Saccharomyces cerevisiae S288C: one gene and its partners. The protein of the gene in region 2 binds, or shares a complex with, the protein of the main gene of each other region. Each region holds a gene or a part of one and is shown on either strand. Other genes may lie near its edges. The genes, in order: MRPS16, RSM18, MRP17 and VAR1.

Evidence for each region.
Region 1: RSM18 (region 2) and MRPS16 share a complex: the UniProt entries of both Saccharomyces cerevisiae proteins name them as parts of the mitochondrial small ribosomal subunit.
Region 3: RSM18 (region 2) and MRP17 share a complex: the UniProt entries of both Saccharomyces cerevisiae proteins name them as parts of the mitochondrial small ribosomal subunit.
Region 4: RSM18 (region 2) and VAR1 share a complex: the UniProt entries of both Saccharomyces cerevisiae proteins name them as parts of the mitochondrial small ribosomal subunit.

The regions. Positions count from the first base shown.
Region 1 is NC_001148.4:528,460-531,119, forward strand, and holds MRPS16 (mitochondrial 37S ribosomal protein bS16m MRPS16), read right to left. Parts: upstream 892-2,660; coding exon 526-891; downstream 1-525. Other genes in the region: CIP1 (Cip1p), read left to right, coding at 1-233; mRNA-binding protein RRP12, read left to right, coding at 1,264-2,660. UniProt on the Saccharomyces cerevisiae protein: Component of the mitochondrial ribosome (mitoribosome), a dedicated translation machinery responsible for the synthesis of mitochondrial genome-encoded proteins, including at least some of the essential transmembrane subunits of the mitochondrial respiratory chain.
Region 2 is NC_001137.3:253,457-256,359, forward strand, and holds RSM18 (mitochondrial 37S ribosomal protein bS18m RSM18), read right to left. Parts: upstream 932-2,903; coding exon 515-931; downstream 1-514. Other genes in the region: TPA1 (oxidative DNA demethylase), read left to right, coding at 1-206; JHD1 ([Histone H3]-lysine-36 demethylase), read left to right, coding at 1,200-2,678. UniProt on the Saccharomyces cerevisiae protein: Component of the mitochondrial ribosome (mitoribosome), a dedicated translation machinery responsible for the synthesis of mitochondrial genome-encoded proteins, including at least some of the essential transmembrane subunits of the mitochondrial respiratory chain.
Region 3 is NC_001143.9:436,597-439,052, reverse strand, and holds MRP17 (mitochondrial 37S ribosomal protein bS6m MRP17), read left to right. Parts: upstream 1-1,560; coding exon 1,561-1,956; downstream 1,957-2,456. Other genes in the region: MET14 (adenylyl-sulfate kinase), read left to right, coding at 1-276; ESCRT-III subunit protein DID4, read right to left, coding at 509-1,147, 1,216-1,275; AUR1 (inositol phosphorylceramide synthase), read right to left, coding at 2,268-2,456. UniProt on the Saccharomyces cerevisiae protein: Component of the mitochondrial ribosome (mitoribosome), a dedicated translation machinery responsible for the synthesis of mitochondrial genome-encoded proteins, including at least some of the essential transmembrane subunits of the mitochondrial respiratory chain.
Region 4 is NC_001224.1:46,918-50,710, forward strand, and holds VAR1 (mitochondrial 37S ribosomal protein VAR1), read left to right. Parts: upstream 1-1,983; coding exon 1,984-3,180; downstream 3,181-3,793. Other genes in the region: OLI1 (F0 ATP synthase subunit c), read left to right, coding at 1-36. UniProt on the Saccharomyces cerevisiae protein: Component of the mitochondrial ribosome (mitoribosome), a dedicated translation machinery responsible for the synthesis of mitochondrial genome-encoded proteins, including at least some of the essential transmembrane subunits of the mitochondrial respiratory chain.

The DNA of each region.
Region 1 (2,660 bases), on a different chromosome or scaffold from region 2:
CTAACAATAGTGTTAGCAACAGTAATGCCTTTTCTTTACTCACGCCAACGCCTACAACAGATTCCGCATTTAATTTTAACATAGCTCTGCTATCGAGACAACGTAGCAATATCATATCGTCCCCCTTAGCTAGTACTCGTTTACCTACAGCAAACGTGTCCACTGAAGAATCCTCTATTTTACCAAATGAATCATTGAAGCTAAAAAGAGATTTATTGCGTCTTAAAAGGTAAATAGTGCCGAACAGTCAGGAGCACACAATACATGACCTATAATGACACTATCTTAATGAAATTCTATTACACTTTCTCTTTTCTTCACATTCGATTAAGAATTTAATTTATTCCATTTCAAGTCTCATTCTCCATTTTCTGGTTGGCCATAGATGTATTATTTACAAGTCTGATAGATATAAAAGCGCCAAGTAAAACATATATACAACATATACATATACACCTCGCATCAATTAAAACACGTTCCTTTGCTTTCCTTTCTTTTTCTTTTTTTTTTTTTTTCCGATCTTTTTCACTCCAATGTTTCCATTCTTTCAAATACAACTTTCCTATTCACATTGCTGTTCTTACTAGTGGCCCATGCATCATTTAATATACCAGCCTTTCGTAATAGTTTAGTAACTGTTTCGCTAGGTTGTGCTCCCACACCAATCCAATATTTTGTTCTATCAAAATCAAGCTTCACGTCTTTAATAGGTACAACGCCCCTCTTCAATTCTCTCTTGGTCACTGGGCTGGGTACCGGCACGTAGGTTCCTAGTACCTCGATCGGTTTAGCATCCCTCGCCTTACGGGAATTAGCCACTACGATATTATAGACCGGACTATTTTTTCTTCCAAATCTAGCTAACCTTATTCGTACTAGACCACAGGTCATACTTGATAAACTCTATTACAATTTCTTAACGGAATACCAGTCAGAACTCCTCCGTTACTTAAGTCGTGTATATATTCCCCTTCCTTTTTTCTTACAACTGTTCTTGGTGTACTATTTCATTTTTTCCGTCCTGAATGATAGATGATCATAATTAGTGAAAATTTTTCTTTTCGCTGCAGTGTTTAAAATTTTAATTATATCATCTCATCTCATCGCGCAATTAGAACTTCCTCGGTCGCAGTTAATTCTCTCAGAGAAGAGTTTTAGTTTGAAAAGGTTCAACTTATTTTTTTACTGATTGAATTCAACCAGGTAATTTCTAGATTTTGAACAGCATCTCGCGAATTGAATCAGCAAATCTCAGAGTTCATCATGGATCAAGACAAAGTTGCTTTTCTTTTAGAGCTGGAGGACAAGCTGGCTAAAATTCGTTCCCAAGTAAACTCTAAATTGGAGAATCAAAAGCATATTGCTATAATATTAACTGCCGTTGAGGAAAATATTGCAGGTCAAGCTACAAATGATGTTTCAAAAAACATTGTAAATTATATCATTTCCTTTATGTCACTATTGGATCAAGCAGTAGACCCATCTACTCATGAAATAAAAGATATTCAATTGGCTTCCTCATCTACATATCTTCTAGATCTGATATTTCATTATTCGCCTAAGGTATTATTAAGATCGAAGTTTTCTGAAATCCTAACGAAAATTGCCCCATGTATCACTGCAGAAAAGGCTAATGCCCCTCTAATTAGAGCTGCTATTGGTTGTTTAGAATCTCTTCTTATTGCTCAAGATGCACAAGCCTGGAACAATACTTATGATCTAAACGTCACTCCAAAAAGAGGTTTGCAGGGTATACTTGAACTTTCTTTAGATGTAAGACCAAAAGTTAGAAAGAGAGCGCTAGATGCAGTTCATGCGGTCTTATTAAACCCTCCTGTTGCACCAACTGCAGAGCATGTAGCGGCAGTTTTTGTAGCAGATTTCTGTGACAAGCAGTTAGCAGGTATTTTAAATGATCTCTCGAATTTATCAAATAAACAATTGAAAGCACAGAAAACAAAGGAAGACATTAACGCTAGTGTCATGCGCTCTCTAAGGTTGATTACTTCAGTCGTCTCTACTGGACAGTGGCCATCTTCACAGATTGAGCCTCTTTGTGATGTACTATTGGGAGTCACCAAAAGCTCAGAGCAATATCTCGTTTCTGCATCATTTGAATGTTTTGAAAGCATGTTCAAAACAATGGCAGAAACTACCATTTCTTCTGGATTGGCTGAAAATAAGTACCTAAGAGTCTTGGATACCATTTTTGCATTAAAACCCTCAAATGTCGATACATTATTAACCAAGTCCTGGATTGCTGTGGTCATTAAGGGTATGTCCACTTACGCAACACATCAACCACTGAAAGCGCTACGTAAAATTCCTGGTGTATTTCACATTATGTGCACATATTTAGCTAGTGAAACTCCAGAAGTGTACCAAGCTGCCTCTCAATGTCTTATCTCAATCCTTTCTGAGTCTGTTAAAGATGATTTGTTATTGTATACACCAAGTGTGGATGAGAAAGTTTTCAAAAACGTAGATGAAATCATCTCTCAAATTGCGAAAACATTTATCGACTTTTTATCCATTAGATATTCCCATTGTTCCAGAGAAATTCTTAAGATTTTGGTGGCAGCATTCAACAAATTCAGATATAGATCTAATCCTCACTTTTTAAAATCACTGAAAATAGTCGATACATGGAGAGTAAATGA
Region 2 (2,903 bases):
CTGTTTATCGTGCGGATGACAGTGGTGATTCAGTATTGATTAATGATCCACCTGCTTGGAATACTTTCAATTTGGTCTTGAGAGATGAAAGTGTTTTGGAGTTTGTTAAGTACGTCAGCTGGAGCGCTAAATCTAGTAGATGGGATGTCAAAATGAAGTGGGATGTCAAATCATGTGATGAAGATGGTCAGGAAGATGAAGCGTAAACAATTAACCCGTCTTATTAAGTAAATGGCAGCTTAGATATTTATAAAGTTGTATAATAGAAGTAATAAAATTATTTGAAAAGTTATTCGTCAATTTCAGCTTATTCCTCTGGCGTGAATATCATTACCATAATCCAAATTCGAGTAAGCGAATAAAACGGGTATATTAAAGAAATATAAGAATGAATATAAGTTTAACTTAAGATCTAATTGCGATTCTTTTTACATATTGTATATTTACAGACAGAACTATGAAATGCCTTATTTTCTTAATTATTTCATGTGGAGAAGCATTAGTGTAGTACAGTTCACATTAATCCTATTGCCTGGCACCGTCTAATGGCTTTCGATAGTCTTCTTTGATTCTTTGCCGATAAGCCTGTGATATCCCTATGTTGGATTCTTCCCGTGGAGGTCACATATCTTGAAAGTATTCTTGGTCTTGCATAAAATTCTAGTGGATTTGCACCGGACTTCATTATATCGTTCCTGTTTGAGTTCTTGTTTGCCTGATATTTTCTATCTAAATGGATTCGTCCCATAGAGAAGTCAAATGGATCGTAGATAGTACCTTTGGGAAGTTTTTTGGACAAAGACTGATCGATTTTCTTTGTTTGTTGCGTTCTCCCCATTTCAATATTGACACTCTTCTTTTCTTTGATACCGAAATTGTATAGAGCACGTTTAAATGTGGAGCTTACTGCTCCCTTGATGATAGGTTGCATACCGTTTTGAATTTTTATGCCTGTGGTGGCATTCATCTTGAACATCCGAAGTTTTGTGTAGAACCTTGCCTTTTTGGTTAGAACTGTAACACTGTTAATAATGGACTCATATTTAAGTATGTAAAGTAATCCTAGATATTTTTTCCCCCAACAGGTTACCCTACAATGCAATTTAAAGGCATAATAGAACATCTAATAGAAGTGGGTGATTATAATGAGTAAGAAGACGTAATGATCATAAAACAAAATACTAATAAGCTATGGTGCAATGCAAGATCCCAATATTTGCCAGCATTGCCAGTTGAAGGATAATCCAGGCGCATTAATTTGGGTGAAGTGTGATAGTTGCCCGCAGTGGGTCCACGTGAAATGCGTGCCTTTGAAACGCATTCACTATTCAAATCTTACAAGTTCTGAAGTTCTGTCTTATCCAAATTCTGCGAAGCAAATCAAGAGCTACCGTTGTCCTAATCATAAGGAAGGAGAATATCTTACCGCATACGCTCTCATCACACAAAAAGGAAAGCGGCAAAGGAATAAAGAAAACCCTGAAGATAGTCATATAAATAAGCGGTATAATTTCAGAAAGAAGAAATTACTTGACTATATCGCTTTGAATGAGGGTGAATCGAAAAGGGATAAAATGAATCACCCTCATAAGGAGAGTTTCATGAAATCTTTTGAAAAATGGAAAAATGGCTCAAATATTATAAACGCCGCTGACTTTGCTGAAAAGTTTGATAATATAGATGTGCCGTACAAGATCATCGATCCACTGAATAGCGGAGTATATGTACCGAATGTGGGCACAGACAATGGATGCCTCACAGTTAATTATATCACCGAAATGATAGGCGAGGATTATCATGTTGATGTAATGGACGTTCAATCACAAATGAATGAAAATTGGAACTTGGGATCTTGGAATGAATATTTTACAAATACTGAACCAGACAGGAGGGATCGAATAAGGAATGTTATATCATTAGAAGTCTCTAATATTGAGGGATTAGAACTAGAGAGGCCCACTGCAGTTAGGCAGAATGATCTTGTTGATAAAATTTGGAGTTTCAATGGACATTTAGAAAAAGTCAATGGGGAGAAGGCGGAGGAGAATGACCCCAAGCCAAAAGTGACCAAATATATTTTGATGTCTGTAAAGGATGCTTATACGGATTTTCATTTGGATTTTGCCGGTACCTCTGTTTATTATAACGTTATCTCAGGACAGAAGAAGTTTTTATTATTTCCACCTACCCAATCAAACATAGATAAGTATATTGAGTGGTCTTTAAAAGAAGACCAAAATAGTGTTTTCCTCGGTGATATTCTTGAGGATGGTATTGCGATGGAATTAGATGCTGGTGATTTGTTTATGATTCCAGCTGGATATATTCATGCAGTTTATACACCAGTAGACTCTTTGGTATTTGGAGGCAACTTTTTAACCATCCGTGATTTGGAGACACACCTTAAAATTGTGGAAATTGAAAAGTTAACAAAGGTTCCTAGAAGATTTACCTTCCCGAAGTTTGATCAAGTGATGGGTAAATTATGCGAGTATCTTGCGCTTGATAAAAATAAAATCACTAGTGATGTCAGTGATGGGGATTTGCTTTCCAGGACCACTAATTGCGCAATTCAATCACTTCATGCATACGTTATAAAACCTGAAGTTAAGTACAAGCCGTTAAATTTCACTTCAAAGAAGCATTTAGCGAAAGCTTTAGCCGATCTTATTTCGTAAAATTTCTTCTTGTCCGCCACGTTCTTGTATCTTTTATTTCATCCTATGCTCTCGATGAATGAGATCTACTTTAGCAATTGATACAGTATAACCCTGACATTACATTTAGGGAATAATCGCCCCAATATAGGTTACAAAACATTAATATATATGTAAATATATGTGCGCGTATATATATATATATATATATATAAAGGGAAAATTAATATTCTATCATTAAAGTGA
Region 3 (2,456 bases), on a different chromosome or scaffold from region 2:
GATAGAGCTCGTGAACTACATAAGGAGGCTGGTTTGAAGTTCATTGAAATATTTGTTGATGTTCCATTAGAAGTCGCTGAGCAAAGGGACCCTAAGGGTTTATACAAGAAAGCTAGGGAGGGTGTAATCAAGGAGTTTACAGGTATTTCTGCCCCATATGAAGCGCCAAAAGCTCCAGAGCTACATTTGAGAACCGACCAGAAGACGGTTGAAGAATGTGCTACCATTATTTATGAGTACTTAATCAGTGAAAAAATCATCCGTAAGCATTTGTAATTTGACCGATTACTGTACATTTAATGATATATAAAAGATGTATATATATAATATAGAACATATTTATTCGAGGATTCATTCGAAAAAAAAAGAAAACTTTAGTGACGAGATTGAGTAAAGTGAAAAACTGAACAAATTTTCGGAAGCCTTTTGATTCTAAGTGCCTACTTTGATATCAGTAGTTGATGTATTATAGTATAGACCTATTATTCATTAAATATACTCAGAGCGCTCAAGTCTGCTTCTTCAAAGTGTTCAACCGAGCTTGCAAGTCATCGTCAGGATTACCGTGAAATTCTGATCCGGCGCCAATAGGTTCAGGAATCCCCATCGCTGTTTCTGCGATCGGCGCATTAGAAACCAGATTTTGAGGCGTGCTTTGCAACTGTGAATTCAAATCCACTCCAATCTCATCAAGAACTTTATTTACAATTTCGTCAGCTTCTTCGTCTTCATCCACCTCATCACCCATGACGTTATCAATAGCTTCGTCCATGAATTCCTGTCGTTGACCCATCAAATCACTCTGCTTTTCAAACTCCATCGATATCCTTTGCAACTGAGGTAGATTCATTGTTCTGTTCATTCCAGCCAAAAGACCAGTGGCCTCGCTCATAGAACGTGTCATTTGGTCACTACTTCGAACGGCCTGTATTCTCAATGATATCGCCTGAAGTTGAGCTTTCATGTTGTCAAATTTTTGGATGTAATTCCGGGTTCTTACTAAATCTTTTGCTTGAACTTTCGCAGCTGCAACTTGCCCATTCTTTGCCGATTTTTTAATTTCTGATACAAGTTTTTTATCTTGTAGTTCCAATTTTCTCTTTTCTCTTTCAAGCTCCCTCTGAGTCCTTTCTAAAGCCCTTTGATTCTAAAAACTCAAATAATTAACGTTAGTATGTTCACTAAAATAACTGATCCAAATACAGAACAACATACTTTTTTTAACCTCTCTTGCGGAGTGACATTCTTTCCAAATACCCACTCAAACAAACTCATTGTTTAACGTTCTGTGTCCAAGGGTGAAACAATCAGCCTTGAAGTACACTGGTCACAAATACGCTTCAACTGAATACGCATAATTCGAAAGGATGATTTCTGATTAGGAGGAGACGAAGTCCCTTTAATGCTGATTTTATCTATCTTTTCGCAGTTATCATCTAACCCGGAAAAGTTTCAACAAGACTTTAGCCTTTTAATGGAAACTCCCACTAGTTCAGCTTAAACAAAATAGAAAAGCTTCAACAGAGGAAAGAATAACGCAAAACCACCCTTTTCACTAAGATGCTTTATGAGCTGATCGGACTTGTTCGCATAACCAACTCCAATGCGCCAAAGTTGGAAGCAAAAGAATTGTCTTCCACAATCGGGAAACTGATTATTCAAAACAGAGGTGTGGTGAGGGACATTGTACCCATGGGCATAAGGTATCTTCCTAAAATAATGAAGAAAGACCAGGAAAAACATTTTCGAGCATATCACTTTTTAATGCTGTTTGATTCATCAGCTGCGGTACAGTCTGAAATTCTAAGAACTTTAAAGAAAGATCCCCGTGTCATAAGATCATCCATCGTTAAAGTTGATTTAGATAAGCAGCTGGATAGAGCCTCATCGTTACACCGTTCTTTGGGGAAGAAGTCTATTTTAGAATTAGTGAATGAAGATTATCAATCCATTTAGGTATAGCGCACAGGTTTTGACTGGGGACGCTACAAACACATGTAAATACATACATATCTTTCATACACATATAATAAACAAAGCAGGAAGAGCATTCTAAAAGCCTCACTTAACATAGACACCATTAAAAGCCACCCATTTATTTCAAAAATTTATAAAATTCTAAAGATAATCAGTGGTATGTGATTAAATAAACTACATGTATATTATGCTAAACGACAATCCTGACTAAGAAAAAGAAAGAAAAAGATATATATTTATATGTATCTACATAAGACCAACCGTATCCGTAATTGCAGATAAAATACTCATTAAGCCCTCTTTACACCTAGTGACGTTATAGACGTGGCGGACGAACGAGAAACAGAAGTAGATCCATCAAATAACGAAGGGCTTACACTGGGTTCATCAGTCATATTAAGATCAAAGTCAAGTTCCAAGTTGGACAAAGGGACACTTTCGATATCGTTTGAATCTGCAGCCAATGGATCACTCTTTGA
Region 4 (3,793 bases), on a different chromosome or scaffold from region 2:
TTAATGGTTTCATTCTTATTATTATTCGGTGTATAATATATATAATATATTATAAATAAATAAAAAATAATGAAATTAATAAAAAAATAAAATAAAATAAAATCTCATTTGATTAAATTAATAACATTCTTATAATTATATAATTATTATAAAATATATAAATATTATAATAATAATAATATATATAAATTATAATAAAAAATAATAATAATATATAATATACCTTTTTTTTAATATATTAATATATAAATAAATAAATAATGGATAATATATAATTACTTTTTTTATATTATTAATAATAATAATTTATAAATATTGTTATAATAAACATTTATATAAATAAATATAAATTACCATAATAAGATATATTATTTATTAATAATAAAAATATTTATTAATAAATAAGAAATATATATATTATGATAATATTTATTAATAAATAATAAATTCTTTATATATAAATATATTAAATATATTTAATTGAACACAATATAATTTTTATTGTATTATTCATTTAATAATATTAATATTAATATTAATATAATATTAGTGAACATCTCCTTTCGGGGTTCCGGCTCCCGTGGCCGGGCCCCGGAACTATTAATATTTAATAAAATATATATAATTTATAATTTTCATATAATTAATATAATAATTAGGTTTATAAATAAATTATAATATATTATAACAATATAATAAAATATATTATAAATCTATCTATCTATCTATATAATATATAAATTTATATATACATTAATAATATTTAATTATAATTATTTAAATATTTAATTTATTAATATTCCCCGCGGGCGCCAATCCGGTTGTTCACCGGATTGGTCCCGCGGGGTTTATATTATTTAAATATTAAATATTAAATAATAATTTATATTATATTAATAAATATAATAAATTAAAAATATATGATTAATTATATAATAATAATAATAATTATTTTAATATTATAATTTATAAAATTAATTATATTAATTATATTAATTCTTATTATATAATAATTATTAATAATAATTTATTTTAAGAAAGGAGTGAGGGACCCCCTCCCGTTAGGGAGGGGGACCGAACCCCGAAGGAGAAAATAAATTAATAAAAGTTTAAAAGTTCTTATATTAATAATTATATAATATTATATTAAAGATTTTTATAATATATATATATAATATATTTATAGTTCCGGGGCCCGGCCACGGGAGCCGGAACCCCGAAAGGAGTTTATTTAATATTTATATTTATATTAATATTTATATTTATATTTATATTCCTCTTAAGGATGGTTGACTGAGTGGTTTAAAGTGTGATATTTGAGCTATCATTAGTCTTTATTGGCTACGTAGGTTCAAATCCTACATCATCCGTAATAATACATATATATAATAATAATTTTAATATTATTCCTATAAAAATAAAATAAATAAATAAATAATAATAATTAATTAATTAATTAATTTTAATAAATATAAAATATATAAAAATAATAATAATAATAATTATTATTTTAATAATATTATTTATATAATAGTCCGGTCCGACCCTTTTTATTCTTAAGAAGGGATTTTATTTTATTAATTAATAATAATATATTAAAAATTATAAATAATTAATAATTCTTTATATTTATATATATATATATATATTTATATATTTATATATATATTTTAATAATATTATGATATATTTTATTTTAATAATATTTTTATTTTTATATATAAAATTATAATATTTTATTTTATAAATTATTTATATATAAATTATTAATAATAATTATTTTTTTTTATTTGGGATTTATATTATTATTATAAAGAATATAATGTTATTAATAACTGCAAAAAATATCTAATATATTATTATTTATAATAATAAATAATATTATAATAAGGATGCATATTATATATATATATATATTTCTATTTATATTAATATTAATATTAATATGTATATATAATAGATAAAAAGTAAAAATAAAAAATAATGAAATTAAAATTATTAAATATAATTTTATCAATAATAAATAAACTTAATAATAATAATAATATTATTATTAATAATCTATTAGATTCATTAATAAATAAGAAATTATTATTAAAGAATATATTATTAGATATAAATAATAAAAAAATAAATAATATAAAAAGAATATTAAATAATAATAATATAAACCCCGCGGGCGCCAATCCGGTTGTTCACCGGATTGGTCCCGCGGGGAATATTAATAATAAATTACAACATTTAAATAATATAAATAATTGAAATCTACAAATTTATAATTATAATAAAAATATAGAAATTATAAATACTATAAATGATAAATTAATTAATAAATTATTATATAAAATAATAACTTTAAAATTAAATAATATAAATATTAATAAAATTATTATAAGTAAACTTATTAATCAACATAGTTTAAATAAATTAAATATTAAATTTTATTATTATAATAATGATATTAATAATAATAATAATAATAATAATAATAATTATTATATAAATATAATAAATAAATTAATAAATATTATAAATAATAATATAAATAATAATTTATGTAATATTTTAAGTTATTATTATAAAAAAAAAGTAACTATTGAACCTATTAAATTATCATATATTTATTTAAATAGTGATATTTTTAGTAAATATATTAGTTTAAATGATATAGATAAATATAATAATGGTATCTTAACTAATTATCAACGTATATTAAATAATATTATGCCTAAATTAAATGATCATAATATTTCTATAAATTATATTAATAATATTAATAATATTAATAATAATAAATATAATAATATAATTAATTTATTAAATAATAATAATAATATTAATAATAATAATAATTATAATAATAATAATAATAATTATATTGGTAATATTAATAATATTTATAATAATATAACTATTGATAATATTCCTATAGATATTTTAATATATAAATATTTAGTTGGTTGATCTATTAAATTTAAAGGTAGATTAAGTAATAATAATGGTAGAACTAGTACACTTAATTTATTAAATGGTACTTTTAATAATAAAAAATATTTATGAAGTAATATTAATAATAATTATAAATTAAATTATATCCCTTCTAATCATAATTTATATAATAATTCTAATATTAATAAAAATGGTAAATATAATATTAAAGTTAAATTAAACTTTATTTAATATATATATTAATAGTTCCGGGGCCCGGCCACGGGAGCCGGAACCCCGAAAGGAGAAATAAAATAAATATAATAAATAAAATAAATAAATAAATAATATATATATATATATAAATATATAAAATAATATTTACTTTTTATATATATATAATTATATATAAATAAAATATAATATAATATCATATAATTATATAAAAATAAAATTATAATTTATTTATATTAAAAATATTAATTAATTAATTTTTTTATATAATTATTATAATAATAATTTAATTAAAAATAAATATCAAATAAAATTATAAATTAATCCTACTTTTGGATCCTATTTATATTTTATTATTATAAATAATTATTATTGATAGTTAATTAAATAAAAATATATATATATATTACTCCTTCGGGGTCCGCCCCGCAGGGGGCGGGCCGGACTATTATAATTATTATTAATATATTAATTATTAAATTATATAAACCGCCCCCGCGGGGGCGGTTAGTTATTTATATTAATATATTTTATATTAATATATAATACTCTTTTTTCTATTATATTTTAATATATAATATTAAAAAAAATAAATAAAATAATATTCTTAATTTTTATTCTTTATCTTCTT